Linked DNA regions of Oreochromis niloticus. The protein of the gene in region 3 interacts with the protein of the main gene of each other region in a pairwise test. Links are inferred from orthologs where the notes say so. Each region holds a gene or a part of one and is shown on either strand. Other genes may lie near its edges. The genes, in order: ncdn, ccdc120b, efhc2 and plod3.

The links.
Region 1: the proteins of efhc2 (region 3) and ncdn interact in binary tests that used the Homo sapiens proteins (3 or more experiments, as listed by UniProt). The two-hybrid records come from large-scale screens. The link is inferred for Oreochromis niloticus from reciprocal best matches to the Homo sapiens genes EFHC2 and NCDN.
Region 2: the proteins of efhc2 (region 3) and ccdc120b interact in binary tests that used the Homo sapiens proteins (3 or more experiments, as listed by UniProt). The link is inferred for Oreochromis niloticus from reciprocal best matches to the Homo sapiens genes EFHC2 and CCDC120.
Region 4: the proteins of efhc2 (region 3) and plod3 interact in binary tests that used the Homo sapiens proteins (3 or more experiments, as listed by UniProt). The link is inferred for Oreochromis niloticus from reciprocal best matches to the Homo sapiens genes EFHC2 and PLOD3.

The regions. Positions count from the first base shown.
Region 1 is NC_031985.2:13,970,748-13,978,466, reverse strand, and holds the start of ncdn (neurochondrin), read right to left. Parts: upstream 3,015-7,719; 5' UTR 2,865-3,014; intron 2,645-2,864; 5' UTR 2,631-2,644; coding exon 2,427-2,630; intron 589-2,426; coding exon 1-588. UniProt on the Homo sapiens protein: Probably involved in signal transduction in the nervous system, via increasing cell surface localization of GRM5/mGluR5 and positively regulating its signaling. Required for the spatial learning process.
Region 2 is NC_031970.2:31,353,672-31,361,437, reverse strand, and holds the start of ccdc120b (coiled-coil domain-containing protein 120), read right to left. Parts: upstream 3,003-7,766; 5' UTR 2,480-3,002; intron 1-2,479. UniProt on the Homo sapiens protein: Centriolar protein required for centriole subdistal appendage assembly and microtubule anchoring in interphase cells. Together with CCDC68, cooperate with subdistal appendage components ODF2, NIN and CEP170 for hierarchical subdistal appendage assembly.
Region 3 is NC_031987.2:31,111,075-31,118,835, forward strand, and holds the start of efhc2 (EF-hand domain-containing family member C2), read right to left. Parts: upstream 3,010-7,761; 5' UTR 2,878-3,009; coding exon 2,836-2,877; intron 2,579-2,835; coding exon 2,390-2,578; intron 2,146-2,389; coding exon 1,995-2,145; intron 929-1,994; coding exon 705-928; intron 564-704; coding exon 312-563; intron 1-311. Other genes in the region: fundc1 (FUN14 domain-containing protein 1), read right to left, coding at 4,770-4,847, 4,952-5,080, 5,167-5,242, 6,487-6,637, 7,108-7,177. UniProt on the Homo sapiens protein: Microtubule inner protein (MIP) part of the dynein-decorated doublet microtubules (DMTs) in cilia axoneme, which is required for motile cilia beating.
Region 4 is NC_031967.2:75,612,060-75,619,463, reverse strand, and holds the start of plod3 (multifunctional procollagen lysine hydroxylase and glycosyltransferase LH3), read right to left. Parts: upstream 3,014-7,404; 5' UTR 2,873-3,013; coding exon 2,788-2,872; intron 1-2,787. UniProt on the Homo sapiens protein: Multifunctional enzyme that catalyzes a series of essential post-translational modifications on Lys residues in procollagen. Plays a redundant role in catalyzing the formation of hydroxylysine residues in -Xaa-Lys-Gly- sequences in collagens.

The DNA.
Region 1 (7,719 bases), on a different chromosome or scaffold from region 3:
CGCTTGGCACAAAGCAGAGATGGCGCCCCTGCTCAGGAGCAGCTCCGAGCCTCTGGGTAAGGCACACACAGCTGTCAAAACCAGGTAGCAGTCAGCAGCCAAGGCCGCATCAAGGCTGGAAGAGAGAGGGTTCTCCTGAGACGTCGACACTCTGCTTGCTTCACTGCCATCATCACCTTTTTGCTTGCTGCTCTCAGTCTCTTCTGCAGATTGTGCCACACTGGCAGGATTACAGTCTGGGTTTGAAATGTTTGCTGACTGGACTTCACCGTCTGGACTCTGCCCTACTTGGTGCTGTTCCCGGGCCTCCTGTTTCTGCTGGGTAAACACAGGACCGTTTACCAAGATGCCTAGCAGGAGGGGGACGGTGGCGAGGAGCTGGGGACTGGAGGCCATGTCTGGCTCTGTGCTCAGGGCAGCCAGCAAAGCCGTGCCCAGCGAAAGGAGCTCATTTGGGGGCAAGCCAGAGTTCTCGTCCCCTCTGACTGCTGTGACCAGAAGCCGAGCTGGAAGATTGAGGCCCACTGCCTCAAAGATGCGCCTCAACATGGGTTTGTCCAGTTCACTGGCTGGGCACAAGCGACTTATCTGAGGATGTGAAGAAAGAGTAGAATTAGTCTTTGTTGAGGCACAATTTAACATATCAGTAAAATCTGTCTACTTTTAAAAAAAAAAAACAAACAAAAAAAAACAAAACACCCCAAACAAACAGTGTTATAGCACGCAATTTTTAATGATACTTTCATCTGTTTGCAATTCCTTGTTGTCCATTCATTCATCCGGCATGCCCTCTGTTCCAGTTCAACCTAAAGGTGTTTGATGGTCAGGGCTCTGTTCCAACCAGTCAAGTTCTTCCCCACCAAACTCATCCAATCATGCCTTTATGACACATTGCTTTCTGCACTGGGGCAGACATGCTGGAACAGAGGAACCTCGATGTTAACTAGTCCCACAAAGCTAGAAGCGGAGTTGTCCAAACCTTCTTGGTGAGCTGAACCATGAAGATCTCATTCACTTGAATGAAATACCCCAAAGCAACATCCGTCCTCCAAACTTTATAGTTAGCACAATACAGTTAGGCAAGTAACTGCTGTGGCATTTGCAAACCTAGACCCGTCCATCAGATTACTCACCACTCTGAGCCAGTTTCATGATGCGTTTTCTACCCACATTTGTCAAGGCAGACACAGCAATGGCAATTTTATTTACAAAAGACCTTTCATTACACACAAACTCAATGTGGTTAACATAAATGACCCCCCCCCCCCCCCCCCAAAAAAAACCCCACACGTGTAGGCCTACAATGCATTAAGACAAACTTTTCAAAGAATTTTTTTTTTTTTTTTTTTCTCCTCTCTTCCCCCCATAAAAGTTATTAACTGTAAGCCTGTGAGAATAAAAAAAGGTTTTGAGTTTGTTTTTAGAATGTAGACATAGCTGGAAATGAATTTAAAATTCCACCTTAAAGGGAGAGTCAATGAAGTTTCTTCAATATTCTACATGTACTTTGATGTACATGTAATGACTGCTGGTGCATTGTGAAATTTGAAAGCTGAAATCTCCTACTGATGGTTTGATAGTCTTGCAAACTGAGCATTACAGCAGGCCATCGTGCTAGATATGAATGCATGGACCAATTTCTCAGAAAGTTTGAGAAAATGTAATCAACAGTTAGAAAATGAAGTGGGAGAAAGCCGTTCTGGAGACCTTATGGATATGATTATCAAAAATGTTGATCACTGTCCAAAATAATGCCAAGATTCCTGATTTGCTTGGAGTACACTTTGGAGTAACAACAAATATAAATGTCTTGTTTCTGTTCAGTTCTATAAAAGAATAGTTAGATATCCAATGGTTAATGTCATCAGTGCAGCTCAGTTTGTGAACAGGGGCTAGATTAGAGGGAAAGTACAACTGTGTACCATCTGTATAAGAATGAAAGGTATTATAATTCTTTATGACAGTACCAAGCAGAAGCTTTAAAGCTTTAGGTTAAAGCCAAGAACAGACCCTTGAGAAAACACTGTTTCAGGTTTTAATTGGCTGGTTTCTTAATTTTACACACCTGTGACGATGAGACTGAAAATTCAAAAGATTAGGAGGTGTGACCCAATACTTCTGCCCATGCAGGGCTGCAGAGGTAGTTAAAAAAAACAAAAAACAAAAAAAAAGCCAACAATGTTTGCAAATAACCATGAATTTGGTAAACGCAACTGTATTTATGAAAAAACAAAAAAACAAAAACAACGAACAACATGCAACTGGCTGCTCAGACCAAGAAAAGCTCCCTTAAGTTTTTAGTTTCAATCATTTTGGGGAAGCTTAATCCCCAAATAGCTGAAAATCAATTTTAAAATAGTTTTATATCAACTCCTTTAACAATATTCACGTTTTTATCTCGATTCGTAAATTAAACGAATACTTACCAGAAGAAGAGCAGCCAACGTCTGACTGTCGTTTTTAGCGTGCTTCAGCGCATGCACACACCTCTCCAAGACGCCTCTCTGGGCATCAGTCAAACCGCCTTTTACATCCCCTTCTGAGCCTCCTCCACCTTCACCTCCTCCCTGCTCCTCTTTTCCAGGAGACTGGCTGTTCACGGTGGGTGTAAAGTCAGCACTGTCAGCCATTATGACCCCGGTAACTATGCGACCGAGAGAGACATAAAGAGGAGAAAAACTTTTTCAATGAATTTCCAATCAGTCTTTCAAGCACTGATTGCAAGAAACCGCAGCGCCACATCGCTGGGCTAACGGGAGTAGTCCAATTTACTGGCTGTCAGTTGTCCCGCTAATGGCTGACAAAAATTGTACATGTATATAAATTTAAAATTTGAGCAGGTGAACGTTAACAATGCAACTTACTTTGTTGACAACCCTCTTGCACGCCGCAACTGCTCGTGCTCACTCCCCCCGGAAACACACTGTCAAGCTAAAGATGTCACGAGCCAATAAAAAGGCCCGAAGAAAATCAGGCAACCAATCATAACGCGGATTGTTGGAAGGCGACACCGCCATTTTAGCCCGTGTCGTAACGTCAGATAAACGAGGTTATCCAGCTTTATCATTTTAATTTTATTTTTTAAAAAACGTTATTAATTTTTTAATATAAAAGAGAAAAAGTTTATTAGCACTCATTGAGTTGAGCATTTACATTTTTAAACGGCTCCTCGTTAGGAGGCGTAAACCGGAACTAGCTGGATGCACGTTGAACGTTTTCAGCTTAAGACAACAAATTAATTTAATTTGTATTGTACGTGAAATGATGAATAAATAGGGTGTTTTCATTATGCACCAAAAATCCACGTGTAAATAAATAAATAATTTAAAAAATAGAAAATGATAAAAATAACAACTGGTTAAAAAAGAAAAATTAAGAATAATCTGTATCGCAAGAAATAAAATGGGCTCATATCCAGGTTCTTAAAACTATATAGCTATTTAGTTAGGATTTTCGGTTTTACTTGCAGATGTAACACGCTAAACTGCTCTGACTAACCATCGCATAACTGCTGTTTTCACTGCCTACTTTGTTTTGAAAATCTCACCACCGGAACCCTTCGTGAAAGGCACTGTATTGACAGTCAAGCACTCACTCACGGCATATCAGCTGTATCAGCGAGAGGAGTACTGACCTAATTTGGAGAGCAGGGGACAACAAGAGACTACACATCGGAACGAGCAGCTGAAGAGAAAGTCTACCATTTTCTGTTTGTGTAAGTCCGTGCACGCATTCTCTCTCTTGTGTTACTGGGGGCAGTTGCCGTTAAAACGCATTGTGTAGGGTCCGATGAGAGATGTCAGCAGCTGTTAGCCTCAAGGTGCCTTGGATGCGAGTGATCCCGGGATTAAACAGGTGAAATACCTTACGATGGGCTACTTCAGCCTTCCAGTGTCAGTGCTTGGACGTCGACATGCCAACATAACATCTGCTAAATGCGCGCAAGTGGCACTTGGGTTAATACATCAACCCCCCCACACAGTTGTTTATAATATTATGACAGTGCAGCAGACTGTGCTGTGGGCAGATACTGGCCTGTGTTGAATTATCTGACAGCTGAACACGTCCTGTCCTGTCTTGAGTAAATCCTAAGCGATTTTTCAGTTTCGCAAGATACATAATGCACGAGCCCACCATTTTGTCTTAATAGTATGAGGGGGGGGGGTTTTTTGGCTTTTGTGTTTTTTTTCCAGTGCGTTTACTCATGCGTCTCATTTGACTTGACAGACTTTAATTCATATAGTCAAACATGCAACAATTTGCGCTTTAAGCAGTCCATTACGGGCTGCACGGGAATAAGAAGAGACAAGAGTGGAGCTTAGTCAGCAAATCAGGGTTATTTTGTTTATCAGTCATTTAGTTGACAAAATAAAATAGGCCAGCAGAGGCTGAAGTAATGTTCTTTATTTAGTCCCTCTACGTTTCATCTCTGATATGAAACTGGCAGATACTGAACGTTTTTTATTTAGTGAGGCAAATACTTGGTGTTATGAAATGACTAAGAATGACTTTTAGTTGTTGTTGTTGTTGTTATCATAACAGGAATACAAATTTGATTTGACAAACAGAAAAATATAGATTTGAAAAAAGAATGATTAAAATGTGTACACATATCAATAAAAAACCAAGAACAGGCAACATAGACCACAAACAAAATAACTGAAAGCAGATAACCGGACAGTAAAAAGATGTCACTGATGAGAAGACATAAAAGGCAAATTGAAAAGTATTAAAAGGATTTTTTTTAAGGAGATTTGCAAGCCTTCTCTCCTCAGGCAGGTCACTCCAAAGCCAAGGGGACCTGATGACAAAACCATTAGATTTAAATCTAAGGAGCAACCAAGAGCAACCCCCTTTGAGAATCTGAGTCTGCAGCCTGGCTCAAGCGGGGGTCAAAATTTCTGCTATGTAACTTGAGACCCAGACCCAGATGCACTTTAGAAGTGAATCTAGTTTCAGTTGCTCCGTTTAAAATACATAATGATTTCACGGAAATCCTATGAGTCCTTGCAAATGGCACACGTTTGTTACCCACACCTTTGTACTTCTTTGACCTGTGACTAATAATAATAATAATAATGATAATGAATAATAATAATAATAATAATAACTTGGGAGAGCTGAAACCAAGTTTAACTTGAACTAGAATAATGTGAAGAGAAAATTATGGAATATGATCCAAAGCATACAACATTATCTGTCTAACATGGTGGAGGCAGTGTTGTGGCATCGGTGTGTATGGCTGTGGAACAAAGTCACCAGTGTTCCCTGATGATGTGACTGCACAGTGCAAACTGAAAATGATTTAAAGCAAACTGAAAAAGCAATCCAAGAGTTTCTCAAGGAAAAGAAATGGGATATTCATCAATGGCCGAATCGGTCACTTGATCTAAACCCAACGGAGTACGCTTTTTCCATTGTCAAACACAAACGAGCAGCAAGTGAAGGTGGCTGTAATAGAGATCTGATGGAGTAACTCAAGCAAGGAAACCCAACATTTGGTGATGCCCATGGGTTTAGACCTCAGGCAAAGTTTTTTTTTTTTCATAAAGGTATTAAAAAGAGTCTTTCAATTCATGTTCATTAATTTTGAATCTCATAATTTGGGGGACTGTGTATAGCAGTCGCTGTAATTCTTAAAAAGTACATGTAAAATTTTTATAAAGCTCTTTGAGTTAAAGCTGAACGTCAGCACTTCAGTCACATATTGATTGATTTGCAATCCACTGTGATTGGGGCAGAACTACAAACTGTGTTTGTCCCAAACATTATGGAAGGCGCTGTATATGCAATAAGTGAGAAAACCCAAAACCAAGATCTAGGCTAACAGTAATGTTTAAAGTGAGTTAAAGACTAATGTGATGTATTCGTACTTTCTTTTGAGTCTTCCATTTTTAATCTTGTTTTAGGATTAGTGTAGTTATTGCTCTAAGGATATTTGTAGAGTTGTCACAACAAAATAAGCAGTTTGTCATGATTATTCATTTTATTTATTTATTTCCTGGGTATGCTGCCTGAAAGCGAAATAAAAACTTGATTTTCCTTCCCTGTGGCAGCTGGAGGAAGCTGTGCGTGGGACAGAGAAAAGCTACATCAGCCTGTCTGCGGAGAAGCCGATGCAGAGCTGACTGCTCCTGCTGAGAGAGGAAGAGGAGGAAGAAACAAGTCAAAGGGAGAGAATTTGCCAGATGTAAGAGGAGGAGAGAGAGAGAAGGAGAAAGAGAGAGGGCGGGCGAGCGAGGGTTTCGGTGACAGAGATCATTGTTCTGGAACAAACCCCTCATGGGTGAACTGGCCATTAAAAAGTCAGTAATGGCCAAGCTGTCATCAGCCCAGGTGACCGTGTGCACCTGAGCGTTACTGCTGCAACACAGTGAAAGTCACCACGTGCCTCAGGGCAGCTGCTGCATGTTTTTTTGTTTTTTTTTGTTTTTTTTTTAAATCCACGCTGTCCAGGCTGCCGGATCCTAACTGAATCCTGCCCATTTTCTGCACTGGATCATTTTCACCTGGAGCTTTTTCCCCTTTTGGGCGTTCACCAGGGAGAGAAAAATAAGCAAAAGCGGGATACGGAGCAGTTTGGATATTTGGACAGACTGAGCCGGTGACTACAGCAGAGAAAGAGACTGCTCGGTGCTCCAGTGTCACGTGCAGGAATGCAGATTTGAATAAGGAATCAGACCAGCAATACAGGTTTGATACTACCACGTTTTCCTTTTAAAAAATGCAGTAAGTAACATAGTTGTAGGTTTGTCTCAAGAAAACAGTGCTGTTTAAACTTTTAATGCTTACCTTTGTTTAAATAAGATCATTATCAGTTTAGTAAAAGCATCAGGACATTTTTAACAGTGCCTTACACAAACATTACTTCTTTCTCTCAAACTATATTTTCTGTTTATTCAATTTTTTTTAAACCAACAAAGTAGTAACTCTGCAGAGGTTGGCACCGATGGCACAGGCTAATTACTAATGTGGAGGATTAGGGATGTGTTTCCAGCCATATGGCTACAGCATCTAGCTAACCTCTTTAGAGTGTGATCACAACAGATGGATATGAAAGCTTGATTTATTACTATATTGCCCCACAGTAGTTTCCTGGTGAGGCCATGTTGAGAAGAGGCCTGGCCGTGCCTTAAACATTGTGTTTCAGGAGCTTTGGTATTTATTTGACAGGGACCATGCACAAAAACACTGACCTCACAAAACAAAGCATGCGTCATACCTAATTTCCATATACAGTCCCCAGAGGATGGCAAACACAATATTGACTAATCCAGCAGTTGAGGTGGGCTCGAGTCCAACTTGGAAGGGACCTTAGGGCACACCCAGGACACACTGGAGTGATTATATCTCGGCTGGCATGGAAACTGTTATCTCGGTATCTCTGCTTAGACTTTTGCCAGCCGTTTCCTGCTGCTTATCCAGCAGAAGGAAGTAGGTGGATGTTTGTATACATGGACAGACTTATCCAGCTTAACAATGAGGATGAACCTAGCTGAGCTGTCACAAGGCAAGCGACGTGGTACATCCTGTCTCACATCCACACTTATGGCCATGATGAATTAACCTAAAGAATGCTCAGGACTGGCCAGGAGGTTTAAACTTGTAACCTTCTTCCTGGGGGACACCAGTGTTGCCCCAAGATTGGAGATACCAGATACAACTTAAAAATATATATACATACGTACCCTCCAGCCCACTCCCACACACAAATACATA
Region 2 (7,766 bases), on a different chromosome or scaffold from region 3:
CCGCTGGTGTTGACACAGCTGCTGCTGTTGTCAACTTACACATGTGAACCAGAGGAGGGTTACGACTACACAGCTCCTGTTAGGCTAGCATGAGGATCCCACGCTGGTTCCTGAGAAGTTAATAGGCAGCAGACAGTTAAAAACTACAGTTTGCACCACTGTCTGTGTCAGTTGTTACAAAGTAGTACCTCACTGCTTTCACTGGTGTACCAGGACAGCATTTCTCCATGTCTAAAGCCATACTGATCTAATCTATAGGAGAACAGTAATGCAACTCCCAAACATTGACTATCAGACCCCAAGGACACTGTAGAGCCATTGGTGAGATTTGCTGGTGAGGATGGGAGTAGAAATGTAAGAAGGAGGAAGATGTAATTTATGATTCAACGAACAAGAGATTGGACAAGGTCAGACATACGGCTGATTCAGAGCTGCCTCCACCTGGGCAACCCCTACAACTGTGGATGGAGGGCTTATGCAGGGGTCAGGTGACCCTCCAACCAACCCCGCGCACCAATGTGATCTCTTCGTTTTGCTCTCTATATCCATGAAATACTGATTTATAATGCACTTATCAGCACAAGGCAGGGCAGCTTAGCCAAGGCTGACCAATCGTATAGCTCGTCCTCTCTCCCTCCCCGGGCCTTGATGCTCACCTTTCTACATTTGACACAACTACCACAGGCAAAACAAAGCAAAGCCCAGTGACTGCTATCCACCTGGATTCCGCTAAGCTGAGGTTGGAGGAGAGGAGGGTGGAGTAATAAAGAAAGGAATGTGACTCTAATGTCCGAGGGGATTATTGCTATACATTTTTCCTTTGCTCTGTAACACCTGGAGGGATTTCTGTATGTCCAAAGCTGTTTTTATGCTCTGTGGCTTGCTGTAATCCACTTTGCTGATTCTGGAAAGAGTTCAGTGCTTTTGTTTCGCTCAGACTTATGAAGTGCAGCCACAGCAGCCACGCCATTACATTCAATATTTACACACAAAAGGACCTTGATCTGATTGTTTTGTGTTTTGAAGAAAAGTAGGTGAATATGCTCCCCCATCTGTAGTACTACAGTCGCTTGATCAGACTTTATTCCCTGGTTCTAGCAACAAGATACTTTAGATGAAGCTAAATGTTTCTCATTGCAACTCTATGTCTTTGTGCTAGTAAGAAGTAGTGAAATGACTAGAATCAGATCAAGCAGCCAGTGTTTCTTTTCACACTGTACTTTACCTGCATGTTTTGTCATTCACCAACTACAGAACCACATGTTCAAATTTGTGTCAGCCCATGTCTTAAGGGGATCATTTAAAAGGAAGGAAAAAAATAGTGTAACCTTGATGCAACCAGTTAAAAAATGTAAGTATTAAAAAAATGCAACTGTGACAAAGCTATCTGGGTCAAAGTCCACTTCCATGGAATGTGACTGAACTGTACTGAAACACAAAGGCCAAAGGGAGTGCTTTGTACTGTACGGGTGAACAGAAACACTAACATGACTGGTTTCATCCTAATCCCTGTGATCAAGAGGAAACTGAGCATGAGAATGGTCTCCCAGCACACCAACCCCTTTGCTTGTAAATGTCCTGGTGTTCCCTGCACTAACAACTGTAAATAAAATAGGAGCAATGAGCATAAGGCTTCAAAGGAAAACCCTCTAGTAAAAAACAGAGGTGTTTCCCAGAAACGCGAAAAGGTGGAGTACAGTGACTCACTGTAAAAGGCACCAACACATTTTTACGAGCCCACCCCACCAAAAGGGATCCTGGCGGACAGGCTCGCTCAGGGATCTGTTAATAATAGGAGCTTAACGCTGCTGCATGTGACCGAGCAGTATTAATAAATGAGAGGAGAGAAGCAATAAGGCCCAGGAGACGGCAGTAACAAGATGTTCGGGTCTGTTTTTTTGCTTCATAACAATGCAGCAACAGGGGAGAAGTTATGCATTCCCGGGAAGCTTGGCACACATTTTCACTCCTTTAAAAATTGAATTTGAGACGTTCTTGCAGTTCTGCCACCCCCTGCCTCCTGACGAGCGTGCCACACAAACGACCCGTTGCACTGTTTTCTGGCACAACGCGTACACAAACGCGAGGCTCTCACTTGATGCGGTCCTCGCATTCATCGTACGGACATGTGATTTGGCTCAACATAAAGCACGCGTTCGCACATCCAGTCTGCGCTGATCCCCGCATCTGCATAGCCGTTGCAGACGGCGGCGCACCGGCTGATAATGAAACGCACCGGACTCATTATGGAAGCGATAACACATCGCAGGTGTGTCACAGCCCGCCACGATGACAAACGTCTTTTCACACGAGCTAAATGCGTGAACAGATGCGAGGACGTCTTGCGGACTCGCGTTTAGGCCGATGCATTTCATTTTATAGAGAAAATATATCATTTTTAAAAGCCGTACTGGTAGCTATTAATTAATACGCCCATTTAGGATGGAAAAGGACATCTTGGAGCAGAATCCCCTCTTACCAGAGAGCATGACTGATGCCTTGCGAGGTCTCCATGGTTCTCTGGAGCGAAAGCAGGGGGAGGAAAATCATTCCTGCTTGTTTTTATTGGCAAAATGTGCGGAGATCCACGGAAAAGAGCTGCCCGTTCATGATGCTTCACTATCCCAATTGTAATTCACCAGCAGCCTCGCGACCTCCGCTGCGTCGGAGCTCTGCGCATCTCAACAGACCTGCTTTCTGCACGGCATGAAAACGCTCTCTTTCACACAGCCAGCTGACTCCACCACGACCACAGCGACGATGCCCCTCCCCAGATGGTACATGCCTTCAATGTGCGCCACTCGATCCGCTAATACGAATATGACCCAGGTGTTGCACAGTAGCGTGGATTCATGTGCAGCAAGGTAACCCTCCCCAAACCCCCAAGAGACTTTTTCCAGATTTAAAAACTGATACGTTCAACTCAAAAAACTAAAATAGTCGTTTTAGTTTTACTGCTTTCTATGTCAGAGTTAAATTGGACCGCACCATACAAAATTATAGCAGCCCAACATGGCTTTTTAATGGGAAGTTAATTGCGTTCTTCCATCCTTAATTCAATAACTTCAATAGTAATAAACGTGTATTGGTATATGTATATTGGTGTAAAAAAACGCATTCAAATTCATTTAAAGTGCTGACTTTTTAATGTTTCGGATTGGATTAATATTGGACTAATTTCAGGGCTTCAAATGTTTTAAGAAAATTCACTGTAAGTATTAAGAAGTGTATCCGATACAGAAACGGCTTTATACAAATTAAAATATTTTTTAACACATCACCAAATAACGGGAGAAAAAAGTGGCTCCACACAAAAAAGGACTTTTTAAAGAGGGCAAGTTAAACACCTGTTACCAACCGACTGAAGCACACATTTCACTCTCTGAAGACAAAGTTAAAGGCGAGAGATTCTCAAACAACAGCTGCACTAAAGCCCTGGCAACACATCATAGAGGAGAAACTGAAAGTTGTGGTTAAAGGGCCAGTTTTACGTCAGAAAGTTCCTAAGTACAGCACTTTGATTCCTCCTTGATTATGTTGTTCAGTACAGGACAAGCTGGAGCATCTTTTTTTGAAAAGAGAATTCATAGCAAAGCTTTTGACCGCTCATGAGAACGATCAACAAAACCGACAAAGTGATAACTGCTTGTTAAAGGCACAGCTGAACTCTGAACATCACACTGTTGCAGTCAAGTCTGCTTCTTGTCAAATGTATATCAACTCTCTCTAGAGTCTGATTTATATTAACTGATCAAAGTATGTTTAAGACTTGCTTAGCTTTATAGGCTATATGTTTTCTTTAGGCTGTGTGTTCCACTGACTCAACCATAAACTCAATAATTAGCAGACAGCAACCACATAAATTGATGTTACTGCATATAAAGTTTAAGTCAATTAATTCTACTCAGTTGATGATTTGGACACATTTGATCAATTGTAAAATAATACAAAATATTCTAACATTATCACCAAACATTACATACTCAAAGACAAAAATGACCAGAAATGAGGAAAACCAGTGTCAGTTCTTCAAATATGTTTTAATTCAAAGACTAAATAACAATATTTTTTAAAGGAATAACCCACTGTTCCCAAATATTTCAACATATGCACAATTACTTGAGGAAAACAACATTTAAAAAAAAAATCACATCAAGAATGCATAAAATTTCACATTGTTAAAACTTGCAGGAGGTTGTTTGTAATGGGGGGTAAAAACTGAATTATTATACACTTAAAAAACAAAAACAAAACACATTATATGGCTGAAAATACAATTAAAGGCCAAGTGTTATACTACTCGAGAACAGAGACAGAAGAAGACTCATTAAGTGCTTATTATTATTTCAGATATTATTATTTCAGAGTCATCTGTACGATGATTGTTGCTACATCATCACTTTGACAAGAGCATGTTGTTCTAAAAACAATAAAAACCTCGAAAAACCGAAACTAAACCTTTAAGGAAAGTTTACTGTTCTCAGCTAACATGGTGCCAGTCACAACAACTGTAATCCTGTCGCTGGGTTTTAGCTTGAGATTTGTGAGGAATGTTTAACTACATTCATCTTCATCTGTTTTTTTTGTTTTGTTTGAGATCTTAAAAGGTGTTACAATGTTTTTAGTGTCAAGTCTAAATACCGGGTCATTGAATAAAGTTTTCAGTAGATATAGTGTGAAATATTCTCACTAGACATCAAATTGGGCTAAAATTGAGAGAAATTACAAGTACAACAACCCCAACATAGGATTACACAAAGGTACCTTTTTTTAAGTGTTACTTATACTTACTTTGCATAACCATCCACACTGTCTCTTTATTTGGGGAATATTCAATTAAATATTTGACCAGTAATGTCACTGTATGTTCTGGAAAATCACTACTATCTCAGATGTCTTGGATATTTTTTAAAACAGTGGCTTGCTCCTACTTATAGCTTGTGGGTTCTGCTCAAATGACTTTAGACTGTCATAGTAATGGGGTGAATACAAATTTAGCATAATATCCATACTAGGTCAGTTTGTGATGATATATTTCCCACTTTTCAGATATTTCTGATGCAATATGATAACAAAAACTCACCCTATGAAAGCAAAAAAGGAGGGTAGGTTAGGTTTACAAAAAAGCTGACCTACCCAACAGCTGTTTAAAAAAAAAAAGTTTTGAGATTAAAGTTAGTTATTTATGAGAACAAACCTCAAAAGGTAATTGTACTTTTTTTCCTGTCATGGGACAACTTCAATGCATTTTTAAAGGTCGTATGAAATTCATCACACCACACATGCTGATGCTAGGAGCACATTCTGCCTTCAGTGGGAGAGCTAATCAAATGATAGTCTACTTTGCAATCAGATTAAGATATTTAAAAAATGCTTGTAATTTCAGCCCAGAATCAACATGTCATCATTACAATCCAGTATGAATGGTCATGAATTTGAAATAATCACATAATTCAATTTAAATAACTAGTTCTAATAGAAAGGTACCTTTGGCAGCTCCCTTATTTCCCAAGTGGTCACCACATCAGATGGATCAACACATCTGATTTGCCACCGGGTACCCTTTCTAATTCCCTCACATTTTTCCAGCCTTAGTATCATCACTGGGAGCAAATGCAAAAATGCAAATAAATGGAGTGCTAATAAATGGAGTGTTAGTGACAACAGTGATGACACTAATGAATATATTATTAAATTAAAAAAGAAAGCAGTTGAGGTGCACACTTGTTTTTACCAAAACAAATCTTCTATTAACTTTGTTGTATATAGTATGAACGAACCCGGTAGCATGACAACAGTGTTAATGCTGGGAATCAAACACGTGGGCTAATTTTCTAGTAGTACAGTTGTCTGAAAGGGCTACTAAAATGTGTAATAGTGGTAAGGAGGGTGAGGGATATTCCTCAAGTAAGAGTGTGAATCAACCAACAGCACACTAACCACACAGAGGGCTGACTTCAGCACACTGCCAAAGCCAAGACACATAACAGTCAAGTAGAAAAGCCCTACACCTACATAATAAAACGTCTGAGAAGAAACACGCCTGGATTATAATGTCACAACTCCTGAAATGCCTTTGGTGATTCTTAAAATAAACCATTTACAGTCCAGAGGTAAGTCTGTAAAGTTTTGATATACATCATCACCAAAAAATAAAATAAAATTGCACAAAGTGTCACTAGAAAACCAGTGGTCTCCACTCTGCTCACATTTATTTTCCATTTCTGTCTGTGATGACGTTAAAGTTGAAGTGCTCTGCAGTTATTACAAATGCCCACATTCTTCTTAACCAGGAAATCACATGTTGATGACCGTTCCAGTATGATGGGGTCTTTATAATGTAATGGTTCTTTGGGAGGCATCCCCCTGGCACACAGAGTACTTCTCCAGACCCAAAAAGCAAATTAACCACCTCAGTCACCGAGGTTAGACGTGCTGGGTAGCAGTCGTACAGCGGGTGGGTGGGGAGCAGCGGTTGCTTTTGGACGGTGACCTGATAGAAGAAGCCCGGGTCGATTAGCACCATGGTGTCGGTCATGCTGGACTGCTTAGAACACTGGATGAGCTGCAGCTGCGGGCCCTCCACCATTATAGCATACCACAATATGGGCAGTACAGAGGAGCGTAAAGAGTCTAGTAGTTTCATGAGGTGGTTTTCTGCATCTGCACCAGTCCCAACTGGGTTATCAGCCAAACTGAAGATCTGTGTAATCTGCAGACAACAAACGAATAAAAATACATACGCATATGATTGCCTGTGGGGGGCGGGGGTAGCCTCAGCAGGACACTTACCATGGGCAACTCATCTTTCTCTTCTTCAACAACTTGCTTTGTAGCTTCTCTGCCACTTTGTGCTCTCTCTGCATCCCATCTGTTTTGCTGCTCCTGTATTGACAAAGTTGGTCTCATGAGAGTGACGCCTTAGTCTTTAACTCACTGCAAAATTATAAATATTAAACTACACCCAGCCCACACCTGCACATCAAATTGTGTCAGAGTCCAACAACACAGTTTATTATTAATAAACTGAAACCATCTGTGGACAGAAATGAATCCTTTGCAGAAGTCTGCAGCTACAGGAAACCTCTGACGCTGCTAATGGAGATTATGTGAGGTATCGGGTAGCAGCCTCTGGGGAGCCCACAAAGAAACTCCGCACATTGTAGTTCCTCAAGTTGCTATTTGAGGCTGGCTCATAAAACAAGCGAGATCCCACAGAATCTCATGTTAAAACACCCAAATGTTAAAGTCTGGTTAAATAATTAAATAAATAACACCCCCCCCCCAAAAAAAACCCCTCTATATCTAATTTTAGCTTTCATTACAACTGTATGTGGGTGAATTTTACATAATTTAACATTATTAAACTGTTACTTTGTACTACTTAGCAGCTAGCTGTGTCTGTTGTACACATCCATACAGTTCATACACCATGCCAGCACATCTTGCGGGGGCTAACTACAATTCAGCACTCTAACTTTTTGTCCAAATATGCTCACTTATGGCTAAAAGAAATTTAAAAAATAAATAAGAACAAACAAAGATATTGATGGTTGTGAAGCTAAATTTAAGAATTCAATTTGCTAAAAACTATTTGGTGCCATCTTTTATTTACAGTCTATTGTTTTAAAGGGGTTTTTTTAGCCTGTGTATTGAATTATTAAACACTGTGGTATATAAAGATGGTAAATGGTAAAATGGCCTGTATTTATATAGCGCTTTAATAGTCCCTAAGGACCCCAAAGCGCTTTACATATCCAGTCATC
Region 3 (7,761 bases):
GTCAGTAACTGGAGGAGAAAGCCTACATGCTTGAGGGAAACTGGGTGCTAAAGCAGTCCTGTCAGAGTGAATGAGGTCTCCATGAAAGCAGGAAGACGAAAAGAAGCAACACAACCAGAAAGAGGGACACTGCAAGCCTTTAGGTTAGGAGTAACCATCTTTAAATGTTAACTAAAACAAAGAAATAGCAAAACTTCAAGCTCAAAAAAGCCCTTATTTACCCTTTTGTATAAACCTGTCTGTGCGTTTCTTCCTTATTCTCTCATTTCTCGACAGCTGTTATCGCGCTCTTATCACGCTGCCTTACCTACCTTAGGTAGTCTGCAGCGACGAAGAAATTTGTTCACTTTGTCTCTGCCAGAATTTGGGGGGATCACCTCCCGGATCTCTATGGTGTCATCAACCAGGAAGTAGTGCAGTATGAGCTCCCGCAAGTCAACATAAATGCTCTGTGAGTCATCCCAGAAGCAGTAGAAGCGCAGGACTTTGCGGTCATGGTCCAAGAACTGCTTCAGCGTATCATGTCTCTCATATGGCCGAAGCGGCTGCATACTCTTTTTGAGCTGAGAGCGTGAAACAAATAAATTATTCACTATAACTTTCTTTAAAAATAAATAAATAAAGGAGGATTAAAATATAGTTCGACAGAGTTATATGAGTTGAAATAAAATACAAACAACAAAAAATGTATTTCGGATGCTCACCTGTTCCCGGAGGCTGCTGTAGGGGTCCTCAGGTACAGTGGTAGGGTTATTTACGTGCACCCCACGTTTTGTCAGAAAGTTCCTTGTGAAAGCGTCACAGTCAGTCACAGTGAACGTGCGAGAGTACAGCTTCATCTGTTGGTTGATGTTGAAATGGAACAGGTTGTAGAACTGGCCTTCATTTGGAGGAGGCAGTGGGATACGGTGGCGACGAATGAGTGTTCCTATGACAGGGATCACCAACACAGAATTGGTAACAAACGGGTCTGGAAACTCTCATCATATTGCATTTTTGGGCCACTTGGGAAAAAGCAGAAGATGAACAAAAGTCCAAACCTAATCCCAAAAGAGTTGGGACGCTGTGTAGAATGTAAATTAAAACAGAATGCAATCATTGACAAACTCATAAAACCATATCAGTCTGAAGAAATGTCTTTTTGCAAGAGACAAAGCTGAAAATCAATGCTGAATGCCCATGATCATCGCCACCCCGAAGGCATCTAATACAGGCATGGTTTTGTCATGGAAATCACTGCATCAGCTCAGGAACACTTCCAGAAATCGCTGTTCACTGTCCACAAATGGTTGGCAGAAACGGTTAAAGCTCAATCATGCAGAGAAGAAACTGTATGTGAACAACGCCACCATCTTCTCTGAGCCAACACTCATTTAAAATTTACAGAGGCAAAATAGACTGCATCTGTAGTCAGACAAATTAAAATGCAATATTTGATTTTTTATTTCTTCACAGTGTCCTTGGGACTAAAGATGAGAGGAACCATAGAGGTTGTTATCAGCCTCACTTCAGAAACCTGCGTCTTTGCTGGTATGGGGGTGCATTAGTGAATATGGAACTGGCAGTGTGCACATCTGGAAAGGTGCAATCAGTGCTGAAATGCATATACAAGTTTTAGAGCAACATATGCGCCCATCCAGACGATGTCTTCAGTGAAGGTCTTGTATACTTGCAAAACACTGCTAAAACACATACTGCCTCTATAACAACTTTCATAGGTATAATTCTATAAGAGAAGAATGGGACAGCTTTTCTTCTGTCTTCTCTTCTTCTTCATCTTCCGCCCATCAAATTCAAAGTGACCTTATTTTTTTCTTAAAAATGTTTCAACTTTTTATTATGAGTAAAATGTGAGTTTATCAGATTTGCAACTCATTGCATTCTGTTTCCATTTACATTTTGCATAGTGTCTAATTGTTTATTTATTTATTTATTGAGGCTGTAATTGAATTTAAGCAATATTCTCAAGATATTTCCTGTTATATCACAGACACCTTGGGGAATGCCACTGTTCTTGTACTCCGGCTCCACAACCTGTATGGTATCGTCTTCCAGGAAGAAGTAGATCTTACACTTTCTGATTCTGTACGTCTCAGACTGAGCCTCAGGTACAGTCTCCTGGAAGTATGCATCAAAACACAGAACCTAGAAGGACAAAGTGATATTTTGTGGCTAAAATTACTCAAATGACAAATGTTTAGTTAGTGAAATGATGACAGGCTTTAAAAAATAACAGGTTTTATTTTTTTTTTTTACTTGAATGAGTAACACAAGCTATTGGAAGCTTTAAACCTTAATAACAGACGTAAAAAAAATAACACAAAGCTATACCATAATACGTGTCTGTGTTTGTCTGAGTGGACAATTAAAATCAGTTTCTATTATTCACCTGTTTGTCAAAGGTTACCCATGGTGGTAAACCGGTACCACTTCCTATAGGATAGACGGAGTACTTTGATTTAATCTCCTGACCAACTAAATGTTCTCCTCCAATGCCTGGCTTCTCAGACCCAACCAGCATAGGGACTCCACTGGAATAGTCAAAATGTTGGGATTTGTGGAATTTCTCCTTCCCCAGCTGTGGTACAGAAAGGAGAAAGTATATCTGAGCACTTTCTATTAAAAACATGTTAAATAGACTGGTTCTTATATGCCTGAGCACTCAAAGCTCTTTCTAAACAGCATACCTCACTCACCCACTCGTACAACCACTTTTATCTGAGCTTAAGTGCTCTCTAGCTAACAGGCGACCTGGGGTTAGTTTCTAGCTAAGGAAGTCGCCTGCTAACGAAACTCAGTAATTTGCGAGAAAAATACGAAGTGTCTTAAACTTACTCTTTCATTGGGAGAGTTCCCTGGCAGAAACGGTAAAGCCATAGTGGTAATACTTATAATTGTTGGATTACTTTCTCCATAAAACTCAGCAGCCCTGAAGTTCCAACGGTCTGTTATTGGTCTGTTACCATGGAAACGTCTATTGGGGACACGTCTCTTAGCAACAAAAAGAACCAATAAAATATTTTTATTTTCATAACAATATTCAAATTATTGCTGTTCATCGTATATTTTGATGCTAACATAGCCAATAAATTTAAAAAAAAAATTATACATTGTTTTTCCTCCAAGTTAAAAAGTACAACAGAGAGTAAACTGTGTACTTGTGTACTATTTATATATTAAAGTTTACAAATAGTATCAGAGTTGGTATATTTTTTACCACCTCTACTAAGGTAATTGAGTAATTATCCCTGTAAATAATACCTTGCTGTTTATAGTTTACTGTACATTCTGATTTGGAAATAATTCTTGCTGGAACTTTTACACTATCTATAAGCCCTCTGAGTCTACCTAAAAAAATTATAATTTAATGTATGCCACACACATCCTGCAAAAATTAAAGTTGGACTTAAGAATACATTATAACACACCCTGTTTCTTTATAAACTGTAAACTATTATGCTTGTAGGGCATACAAAAATAAATGGCCAGAGTAACAGCTCATTTTTGTTTCTAATTATATGTGAAACATTTTACAAAATCCAAGTGAAAGTAAACTACTTCTGACACAACCCAGATCTCGGCTGAAGTCCCGGGGTGACCGCGTGTTTGCTCTGGCTGCCCCGGTACTGTGGAATACCCTTCCTCTTGTCCTCCGCGCATCTGATTCCATTGCACTGTTCAAATCACGACTAAAAACCCACTTATTCAATCTTGCCTTTCGCTCTAGTTAATATTTTTATGATTTTATATTATGCACTTTTATGCTCTAATTTCTTGTTTGCTCTGTACCTGTTGCTTTCCTATGTATCAGTGACAGCTACCTGCTTGCATACCTAGTACTTGCTTTGGTCCTATTTCTATTATCTTCCTTCTACTCTCTATGTTACTTGTTAAGCACCTTGGCATACCCTTGGTTTTTAAATGTGCTTTATAAATAAAGTTTATTATTATTATTATTATTATTATTGAACCAAAGCATGGATGAATGTATACTAACAGACTTCAAAGGCATCAGAGACTAGGTTTCATCATCTTTACAGTTAAATAAACTGCACTGTAAATTGAATTAGACACAATTCAACATATTTCTTTATTTTTATTTACTTACATAATAGTCAGACCACAGCCTTCAGTACCCAAAGTGATGGTAAACATAATAGATCATAAAAAAACAGAGACTGCAAAGACTGGTGTAACCCAGTGTTTACTTTGAAGATGATTGATTATAACGTGTTGAACCAAAATATAAAAATTAACAGTGGCACTGATAGAATACCCTAAAGACATGCATCCCCTGCCATGTGTAGGTGAACTGAAATCTATTTGCCCCAACTGTGCACAACCACAGTGGGAAATCTTTCCTTCTGGAACATTGTCCGTTTTTTTAATAAATACATAATAACAGAAACATTCTGTTGGGTTTCCTTTTTTAATTTAATTTCCATGATATGTATTATTATTTGGCGTTAAAACTGGAGTGTTTCAAGACGGCCATTCTGGGCTAATAAATAAGTCCCACGTCTATATCAAAAATACTTGCAAGTACGATGTTATAAACAGAAGGGTTTGCAATGCAGCTTAAGTAAAAACACAGAGCTCCAAGCTAAACTGGTATCTGTTGGTCACTTGCTGTTAAAACTCTTGAGAACTTAATTATAATATTGCTAATTATAAGCAAAGACTTATAATTATCCTCTATAGCTTTTTATAACATCAGAAACATAACACAAAAAACCCCCCAATAATACACTCTTCTCATTCGGTAGGTCCTAAGATGCCAGGCCGAGAAGGAATCCTCCGATGAAGCCACTTGTGACGACAATGTTTTTCTTCACAAACTCTCTGGACTGAAAGATACAAATCATATTTCATATGACACAGTCGCTTTTTCATTGTAACGGGAGGGTGAAAATGATCTCACAATCAACCAGACAACTCACAAAAAAATTACCTTCTCAACAAATGTGTTGAGCTCAGGGACTGCCTGATCTGTTCCCTTCTTTAACTGCTTCTTAGCTTTGTTGACATCCTTCTCTACTCGCTTCCAGTCCACTTGGATATAACCACTGTTGTTAGCTACCTGAAGAAAGACAGATTCATGAAAACAATGTCAACGTGTTGAAAAGCTTAACCTGCACATATTTATGCAGGGCGATGCAATAATACCTGTAAAAGCAGAAGACCGCCCCCCACTGCAGTAGCAGCAACTTTTCCAACCTTCTGGAAGAGGTAACCTGCACACCTAAGGCAAATTGAAAAGAGAGCATAGTAGCTGATCTAACAATAATAATGACACAAGTTAGCCTAACAATGACCATTGTGAGGTGGCCATTCACTGTCATAAGGTTTGCATGATGTGAAAGGTCCCACTGATAAAGTATAACTAAGACACTGTTTGCAAGATACCTTAACTGCAGAGTTATAAAGTTGGGAGTGTGAAATTTGTTTTCTTAAGTGATGGCAAAATACAATTTTGTCTCTCTGCTACAGTAACATGTGAACAGCGAGATGAGCATGCACTATATGTAATACAATACTGTGCAAAACGTTTTGAGCTACTCCTCATTTCAATATATTTTGCTTCCAAGGAGCCAGGCCTCCTGGTCATTTTTTAAAGTGGCCTTGAGCAGTAGCTCTCCAGCCCTTCTGATGCTCTTTTAATGTTTTTTCTTTGGACTTTCCTTTCCAAGTTCTGAGGTATGCCAAATGACACAAGAACTGGATTGTAAATCGCTTGTCAAAAGTAATAAATTCATGAACACAGTAAAAGTTCTTTGATCCACCATGCAATGTCATCTCCAAAGTGTCTGATTTGGAAACTGAAACTAAATAATGAAACTGCTGCCATACACGCTGCTAAAGGTATACCTGGATAGAATCCCCCCCCCCTCCAAAAAACAAACAAAAAACACGGTGGAACGCAGTCAGCCACCAATTGTGCAAAGCCTGGACCTCAACATTACTGAAGCAGTGTGAGATCATCATGACAAAGAATGGAACAAAAGGCATTCAAAGGAGAACTTTGAAGAACTATCTTTGAAGAGTGCTTAAAGGAATTAGACGAAAGCTTTCTGAGGAGACTTCAGGCTGTTGAAGAATACTCATGACCTTGATCACTTTCAAGGTCATTAGTATTGTATAAACTCTGTTTTGCTTTATATACTGTATGACATATATGTTTGCATGTTTCAAATAATGTCTGCACACATTTCATATTTTCCTAGCAAAGGAAATGTGGGGTGGCTAGAGATTTTTGCATAGTACTTTAAGAAATAAAGACATCCGTGTCCAATCAGCCAACAGAAAATATACTGTAAACAAGATGAGACACAGAGCAATTTATAACCATCTAAATTAACCTTGAGATTTTCTAATTTTGCGTTAGGGTGTTTCTCAGCCATTCATATTTACTAGAACTACAACTACATGAAGTGCTTAACTAGGAACGCTAAAGGCAGCATAATGCATTTTAATGAGAATATTTACCATCCACTCACTCCACCTATTGCAATCTGTGTAGCCACAGAGTATTTTTCAGCTATGGGGCCGGAATTCTTTCCGAAAAGGCGGTTCCACCATCGCTGACGTTTAGCGTATTCTGTCAGATCCACGACCTTGTCGTAAATCTCATCTTCCACTTGTGTACATACAAGGAAAAATAAAAGACAGCTAGCATGAAATAACAATGAATGCAGCAGCGACAAGCCTTACAAGCACAGTTACATTAATGCTACAAAATCAACACACGATTCTAGACGCTATTATCCATTACTCAACTATAAACTGTAGTAGTTTCCTGCTTTTTTACTTAACAAGATCTATCATGACAAAGGCAGATACCAATAGTTTCATTACGGGCTCCATTACAACTTACTAAAATTCCTGGGCCTAACAATAACTTAGCATGACTACACAACTAAAGCTAACAGGTGAAAAGTTAATGCTAGCTGTAAATGGTGCGGCCCAAGAGAGAGTCAGCGCCACAGAGGAAACGGGAAAACGGCTTCAAGGCTTCGTAGCAGCAACGCGAACGTTACTAAATGCACCCACGGTGTCGAGACCGTCCTGGATCCGAACAACATGCAATAACATTACAGGCCTCCTTACCCTTGCTATTCGCCATTTTGGAGTGCACTGGTCTGTCCTCAGCTGCCTTCACGTCCGGCGTCATTTGCATAAATTTGACGGTGAAAAAGAAACCGAGACATGGGCAGGCCTACATATAATGTAACGTTATACGTTATGTAATAATAATAATAATAATAATGATAACAATAATACATGTTTTTCTTTCTTATGAAACATTTGGAGATTTTGCCAGTCTCGCAACTCCATCCAAGTTTCGCGTGACCTCCAATACACTGCACTGAAGGTTGTTAGGACACAGGTATGGGCAGCTAAAGGTGTTTTGGTCGTGGCTATTTTGTTTTTTAAGAATAACTCTAAATGAGTGCATTCCAAGTGGAGATGGTTTTCTAAAAGTTAACCCCCTATTTTTCTAACCGATATTAGGAAAACAATTCCTGACAATAACAGGTTTCATTTATTTAGGTTATTTTTGCACTATTAAATTAGCAGAAGAAATCCTGCCGTGGCTTATGGACCAAATCGATGAATTTGTTTCGAAATAACCCGGTGTGCCTAGTGGTAGAGAAAGACAAAACAGACAAACAAAATAAAGAAACAAATAGTAAATATATTAAAACATTATTATTGTGTTTTATATAGCTTTTATTTTTATGGGGATTTTTTAATATCTTT
Region 4 (7,404 bases), on a different chromosome or scaffold from region 3:
ATAACTTAAAAATGTTATCGTTTTGCTTTTGTCAGTATTTTATTTGTTTCGAGTAAATCAGTTTGGCTGAGATTAAAGTTCTAGTTTTTACACAGCTGAATAAACGTCAAGCAGACAACTGATTATCAGAAGTGTGAGATGCTCGAGAATATACTCCGGTGTCCTGTTATATTTTACCTAGCAAGGAGCAGACGGCTGAATTTATTAAACTTCACCTAAACAACCTGCAAATTTCATTAAAATTTAATAAACTCTCATCTTGTCTTTATGTTTAGTTAGCACATACCTTAAACACTTAAAGCTGTAAGCTAATGATAGTTGTATAAGAGCAGATGCATGCTGGTGCAATAAGCTGTACGTTTTACATCCAATGGATGCATGATCTGATTAGTCGACTAATCGCAAAAATAATCGGTGACTAGTCGACTATCAAAATAATCGTTTGTGGCAGTCCTACTACCGACCATTTCCATGTACACAAAGGATTTTCCATTTTGCAGACTGGAGGGGTTCACACCGGAAACCTGCAGTTCAAGTTCCACATGCGACAGACTTCAGCTGGGATTTTCATCAGTGGCACAAACCCCAGCTGATGGAGATCCATACGGCCTCATCTGGGCTCTGAGCTGATCCCTGTTCAGCTTTCTAAGGACTGACCACACTAAAAACCACCTTCTTCCAACCTGCCAGGAGCATCTTCCAGCCTGATGGGAGCACCATGTCAGAAGACATGACAACACAGAGCCTCGGAGAGATCCCCAAATTAACATCTTGGGCCCATGGACACATCTTAATCTGATCCACAATCTATGATCAGTGCTTAAAAAGCAGGTGGACAAACAGAAGCCTACAAACTGTGATTAACTAACAGCCACAGAGATCTGCAGCAGTTATGAAGAAGAGTCAACATTGTAAATGACTCCTATAAAAGTCTCTAACAGAAATGTAAAAAATAAATAAAAACTGATGAAACACAAACTCTGTGACTGCAGTTATAACGAGAACCAACTCTGTTAAGTTCAGCCAATAGAAACTCGTCATGCTCAGTGTCATAAGTCAGATTCAGAGACGCTGAGCACAACATGGAGGAAGTGCTCAGATATACAACGACCTCCCAGAGGAAGAGGAAGAAGGCGAGTTTAAGTAAGATGTTCTCACTGGTTCACAAATTCACTTTGTGACAGAGGTACAGCCTCTCGGGGTTAACTTCACTGTGTCTGTGATTGTCTGAGGTGTTTTAGGGAAATACGTCTTCAGCTGAGCTGTGTTGTGTGCCATAGAACCTGAGAAAAACTGAGACACTTCATTGTGAGCTCAGATATCTGAAGCATTCAGATGAGCTAAAACACCAGCTTATTATCTATTATTAACAATTTAACAGCTTCTTTATATATACAAAAAAGGGGTTTTACTAAAATATAACAATCCTGGTGTTCCTCTGAAGAACAAGCATCAGGACTGGGATAAAAGTGCAAGCAAAGAATTCACTTTTATGTATCAAAAGACCAAAAATATGAGGAAAGTGCACAGGACTTCGGTTTGACTGTGTCTCAATCTCCAAAAGTTGATTCTGTTCATCTGGACGTAGCGTCTGTGTCTCAACTACAAACAAGCAGCCATACTCAAAGATCCTGAAGGAGGAAGAACCTGTAAAACTGATTATTGATTTGATGAATGAATTAATCTCAGGATAAAGCAAAATAAGTCTTTAAACTGGATCCCATGAATGAGTGAAAATGGCTTCAGATTTCAGTCCAATATTTAAAAACCTCATTTGTTCAGTTATTTTTTTCTGTTACTATCCGAGTGTCTGTTAACTTTTTAAAAAAGGTTTACAACAAGAAGGAAATCTCCTCCTCAGTGTCCCATGTCTCACTCTGCTCCCTTTAAAAACGCATCACATAAGTAATATAAACATGAATACAAACCACAGCTGAGCAAACAAACCTCACAGGGGCACCAAAGACAGGACTATATGGAAAACACAGATCAGATTTAAACCGGTTATTCTTTTTAAAAACGTTTATTCTGTGTAAAACATCATCGTGAGAGGTTCATGATGGAAATCATTAATCCTGCTACATAAACATGCTGTGGGCTCCCACAGTGGCTTTTTAAAACTAATTTAATCCACTTACAATAAATGTTTGACTTATTTAAATGCAGTTAACTAAAATTCTTTATTCTTATATGATTGTAAAATATTAAATCAAAACAATCATACTATTTTAAAAGTCCCAGCTTTCATTTGAAGCTGTAAAACCTCGTTTGAGTGGGTTGATCAGTGATTTGTAATCTTTACTGCTGGATGTAAGCATCCCTGCGTGAATGTGTGTCTGTTTGTGGGGATGTCTAACTTTCTTTAATATTTGAATTTTATCCTATATGTGAAGCACTTCGTACCTTTGTGTTACTTTGATTAAAACTGATACATGTTAACCACACTGTGTATCCGCAGTAGAAACGAAGTTGCGCATTAAGATTTTCCAGAGTTTAGGGAATCATTAATAACCTGTAGGGATTACAATAAGAGTATATGAGGTTATAAAAGGAGCAGGGACCCCTGTTAAAGTTTGCTAACGGTCCTGTGGCGCTAACGGTTTTAATCATTAATAAACATCCTTCCTAAACTCACCCAGCAGCAGAATAACGGAATAAACTCTGAAAATAGTGAATAGGTTTGTGACGTGATGAGCAGCCTTTCCGTAAACCACCCGGAGCTCCACAGCTCCAGCGGGTTACGGTGGTCCGCCTGGCCGGCCAGGGGACCCCGCACAGCGGTCTTACCTGGAGAAAGCTTCCGCTGTTCGGCCCACACGGCGCCCTGGAAAAAGGCGAGAGACAGCAAGCAGAGAAGAAAACAGGAGGACATGTTGGATGTTTGGAAACGGCTCCCTTTAGACTGTAGGCCGTAGCTTTAGTCCACTCTTTCTCCTCTCTCCCCAGCCCTCTCTCTTCACGTTCACCGCTCAGTCGGCACTCAACTCTCGCGATACTCGTCACCTTTTCCGACTTTTAAGATAAAGTCGACAGAAACCGCAAAAAGCTATCCAGCCAATGAGAGCAGAAATGGCGCGATACAGCTTTGACGGACAGAGCTGGTATCCAATCAGCGCAGATAGTCGGAAATCCACCAGCCAATAAGAGGCAGACAGATGGGAACTTTTTTTCTCTCCGTTTTTCGGTGGGCTAAACCACAGAAAGTTCGTGAAAAATGGAGTACGTGAATCTTTGCCACGTCTGAGGCTTTCAGGAGAGGGAGGGAGAGGGAGAGACATAGCGAGGACATGGAAAAACGGAGAGAGAGCGTACGTCGGCAGAGGTTTTATATAGCTTTAAAGTTGCATGTCTGCAATTATAATGATGTTTAATCATTATAATTAGACCCAAAATGTAATCATAATTTAGTATTTATTTACATAATTTATTTAAGAAACAATTAACATTTTCCTAATGAAATATTAATACTGTGAGTTCTTTTACTGACATTCAGCATACATAGCATTCACTGCATGAATAAACTTTCAAAATCGTTTTTCTTTAGCTCTTTTGTAAAAAAAAAAAAAAAAGAAAGAAAAAAAAAAAGAAAAGAAAAGAAAAGAATCACTTTCTCCCAAATAATTGACTCAAAATATAAAAGTAAAGAGCTGGGAGAAGAGACTGCAATCATAACTGTTCTGTAAATACAGCAATCCAGCATTTATTCTACATTTACCATCTAGTAAGCTAAAAGCATACCTTATTAGAGGGTGGATGTATGGGATGTTCTAAACTCTAGATCACTGGTTTCTTTCTGTGTGTCTCAGGATTTAATAAAGCTACAATCTACACCACAGTGTCACAACAAGGGGCCCAACAATACACAGTGTTAATCAACTGGGACCAGGAATAAGATAAGATAAGATAAGACTTTATTGATCCCACGGAGGCGAAATTTGTGCTGTGTTTCCTTGTTCTTGTAACATTGACAATTAAATCTATTCTATTTTAGTTTAAAGACAGTATTTAACTCTTTGTACTCTTTAACTCTTTAACTCTTTACTCAAGATATGAAAGTAAAGAGCTGGAGAAAGAGACAGTAGCCACACTTTGTTAGCAATTACAAAAATCAAACATTTAGTTATTGTATTTTTAATTTTTATTAAACAGATTTCAGTCATATCACAGTAATCCCTGCATTAACTAGTGGGAAGTGACCATGCTGAAGTCTGGAACATATAGCAGGATGTTTTAACAAAACATCCTGCTATATAATGTCAAATATCACTGTAATTGTCAATATTATTCAGTATATTGTAAATTCTGTGACAGACTGGTGACCTTTCCCGGTTGCCATATGACAACTGAGATAGGACCACTCCCCCATTAGTGATGGGAATTCCGGCTCTTTTTAGAGAACTGGCTCTTTCGGCTCCCAACCGGCTCTTCAGGTTGTTTTGTTGCTTTAATTAATTTATTATCAGCAACAATATAAAATTATACACAAAAGGAATTAATAATGTTTAAAAAAAAGTGGTTTTATTTATATATGTTTATATATAAATATATATGGTGGCCTGTAGAGACAAAGTACATGCAAACTCCAAAACACATTGCTAAACAAAAAGAAGATGCACATTCTCTGTCATATAGGCCTGGGATGATTTTTGGGCGAGTCTTTTCCTCCTTGGAATTGCATAGGATTCACTGCATGAATAAACTTTTTGAATACTTTATCATTCGCAACTGAAAATAGTTGTGGATGATTACTGTTATAATAATAATAATAACTATACCTTTTTAATGTGATGTTGTTGTCTCTTGTTGTTGTCCCTGGCTCTCTTTCTCTCTCTTTCCCTCCCGCTCTGTTCCTGTGCAACTGTGAGTGTAACTACCGCCCCTCCCCTCTCTGCTCAGCGCAAAGCACAAAGCTCACGTGCAGAGTGAAGCGAAAAAAGAAAAGAAAAAAGAGAGAGGATGGGAGAGAAAAAAAAACACGGCTCGCGTTGTTCACTTCAAAGATCCGGCTCTAAGAGCCGTTTCGTTTCCGACCGACACATCACTATCCTCCATCCCCTCCCCCACCATCATGTGACAGGGTCGATGCTCTGTCTCTTCCAGCATTTTGTTTATAGAGAGCGGTAGAAAGGTTTTGAAATAACTTGCAGATTCTGGGAAAGTGACAGTGAAGTTTTTTTTTGTTTGTTTTTGTTGCTCAAAATGATTGAAAAAGCAATCTCTGATTCCAAAACAACAGTAAGTAATTCTTATTTCTCGATCGATATGGGAATGCTAATGCTAATGCTAATGCTAAACTCATAAGGATTAAAGTCACACAATCTTGTTTTTAGATTATTGATCTGAAGTAAAATTTTATAGCTCTGCATTTGGAGGCAGGAGGGACATTAAGGTTATATGTCGCTTACGGAGTTCAAGTTATTATCATTTTTACTCTTTCTTTGGCAACTTTAACACAGATGTTCAGTCAATTTTGGACGGAGAGTAATGAAATCTGCTTAAACCGGCTTACAACACTCAACGGCATTTAAACAGCGCCTACACAGCGCTCTTCACAGAGATGCTGCGCAGCCCTACTGTTTTGAAAAACCAAAATGCCTAATCCTCGAGCAAATACAAATCTATATCCCTGTGGTCGTAACGTTTTCCATCAAATCAAGAAAAAGCAATTAGGAAAAGATATAGCAGGCTATTTTTTTTTTTTTGATAAATTAAAGGCAGTCAGTATCCTATCACCAGAAGCTGTGATAACTGAAGGAGGAAAAAGTGCAAGCCTAATTAGAATAAAAACAAGATGCTCCAAAGAGTTATCATTGTATTGATTAAGTAAATGTCTGTCAGCAACAGGTGTGCGCCCAGGTTCAAGTGAGTTAACTCTTCTGCCCATTGTTTACTATACCTGTCTGATACTACTGAGCAGTGAGCCTCACGGTGGTGGGCTGCTGTGGAAGTGAACAGTTAATTTAACCGTTCTGCTTTGTGTTGTTTCCCTTTTCATTTTCTTCAGACAAACATCTCTGCTGAAACAGGACAAAATGTCACTCTGCTATGTCAAGCTCCAGACAATATAGTCATGACTAGGGATGGGTACCGGTGTGGCACCGGTTCTGACATAAACGGTAGTAACCAGACCGAAAAGCAGCGCACATTTCGGTGCTTTATTTCGGTGCTTTTTTTTTTCCTGAGCCAATTCTAGCCAATCATTTTACATTTCCGAGGATAGTAGCCGGGGCCAGGTACGCGCGTTCTTTTAGAGCAGAGCTACAGATTAAAAATGTCCAAGGAGAAGCGGTCAAAAGTCTGGCTGTACTTCACAGCAAAAGATGCAAACTCAGCAGCCTGCAACAAGTGCTTTAAGCTGATACTGTGATACTGTCAAAGGAGGTAACACCTCAAATCTGATGAAACACCTGGCGACGCATAGCGGGGTTTTTTAAAGCCGAGAAATGCGCTGTGTTTGATAGCTTGCTGCGAGACCTCACACCGTGCACATCTACTGCGGGTGTGGTGCCTGTTATCGGACCCGGAGTTAGCAACATCCCCCAAAAACCCGAAGAGGAGAGTCCTGGCCCCTAGCCCTGCCAGTGTAGCAGAAATGATGAGGATGATGATGGCAGCAGCAGCCGTTCTTCTCTGCGTGAGTAGCTTCATGTTGTTCGTGTGTAATTAACGTTGAGTACGCTAACCACGTTATTACATTAATGCATGTAAGGTGAACTAGCAAACACCGTCGTAGTTACTGTCTTCTTGTTTGATGGCAGATACTCCCTTCACCCTGGCCAAAAAGGCTAAAATGACCAAAGAAAAAGTGGAAAACAATTAAACATGAGAGGGTTTTGGACCAATTTTGTGTTCTCCATTCTTTAAGCACTGGTTTGAGCACCGTTTAAGCACCGTTTAAGCACCGGCACCGTTTCAAAAGTACCGGTTTGGCACCGGTATCGGATAAAACCTAAACGATACCCATCCCTAGTCATGACTCTTGTAAAGTGGATAAAACCAATGGTGGAGAAATATGTGTGTTTATTACGTGATGGTCACGTTCATTCAGAAGGATCCATCTTTTCAAAACTGGGTTTTTTCTTTCATGAATGCTACATTATGGAATTTGATTCTGAAGAATGTGATGAATAATGACCCTGGAATATATGAGTGTTGGGTCTACATGAATGAAACATGCTCATGGAAGCTCATCAACAGCACCAACCTGAGTGATGTTGATCCTCTAGGTGAGTGAGTAGAGTGTATGTGTGATCCATTTTCATGCTACACTCTTTTTTGTGGGAATATTAGTACTTGTTTCTGTATAATATTTCTTTCAAGATGTTTTTATGCCAGCAATTTTCTAATAGTTTTAAAACTAGTTTTAAAAAACTTTAACATCTCAGTGTATTTCAGGTTTCCACC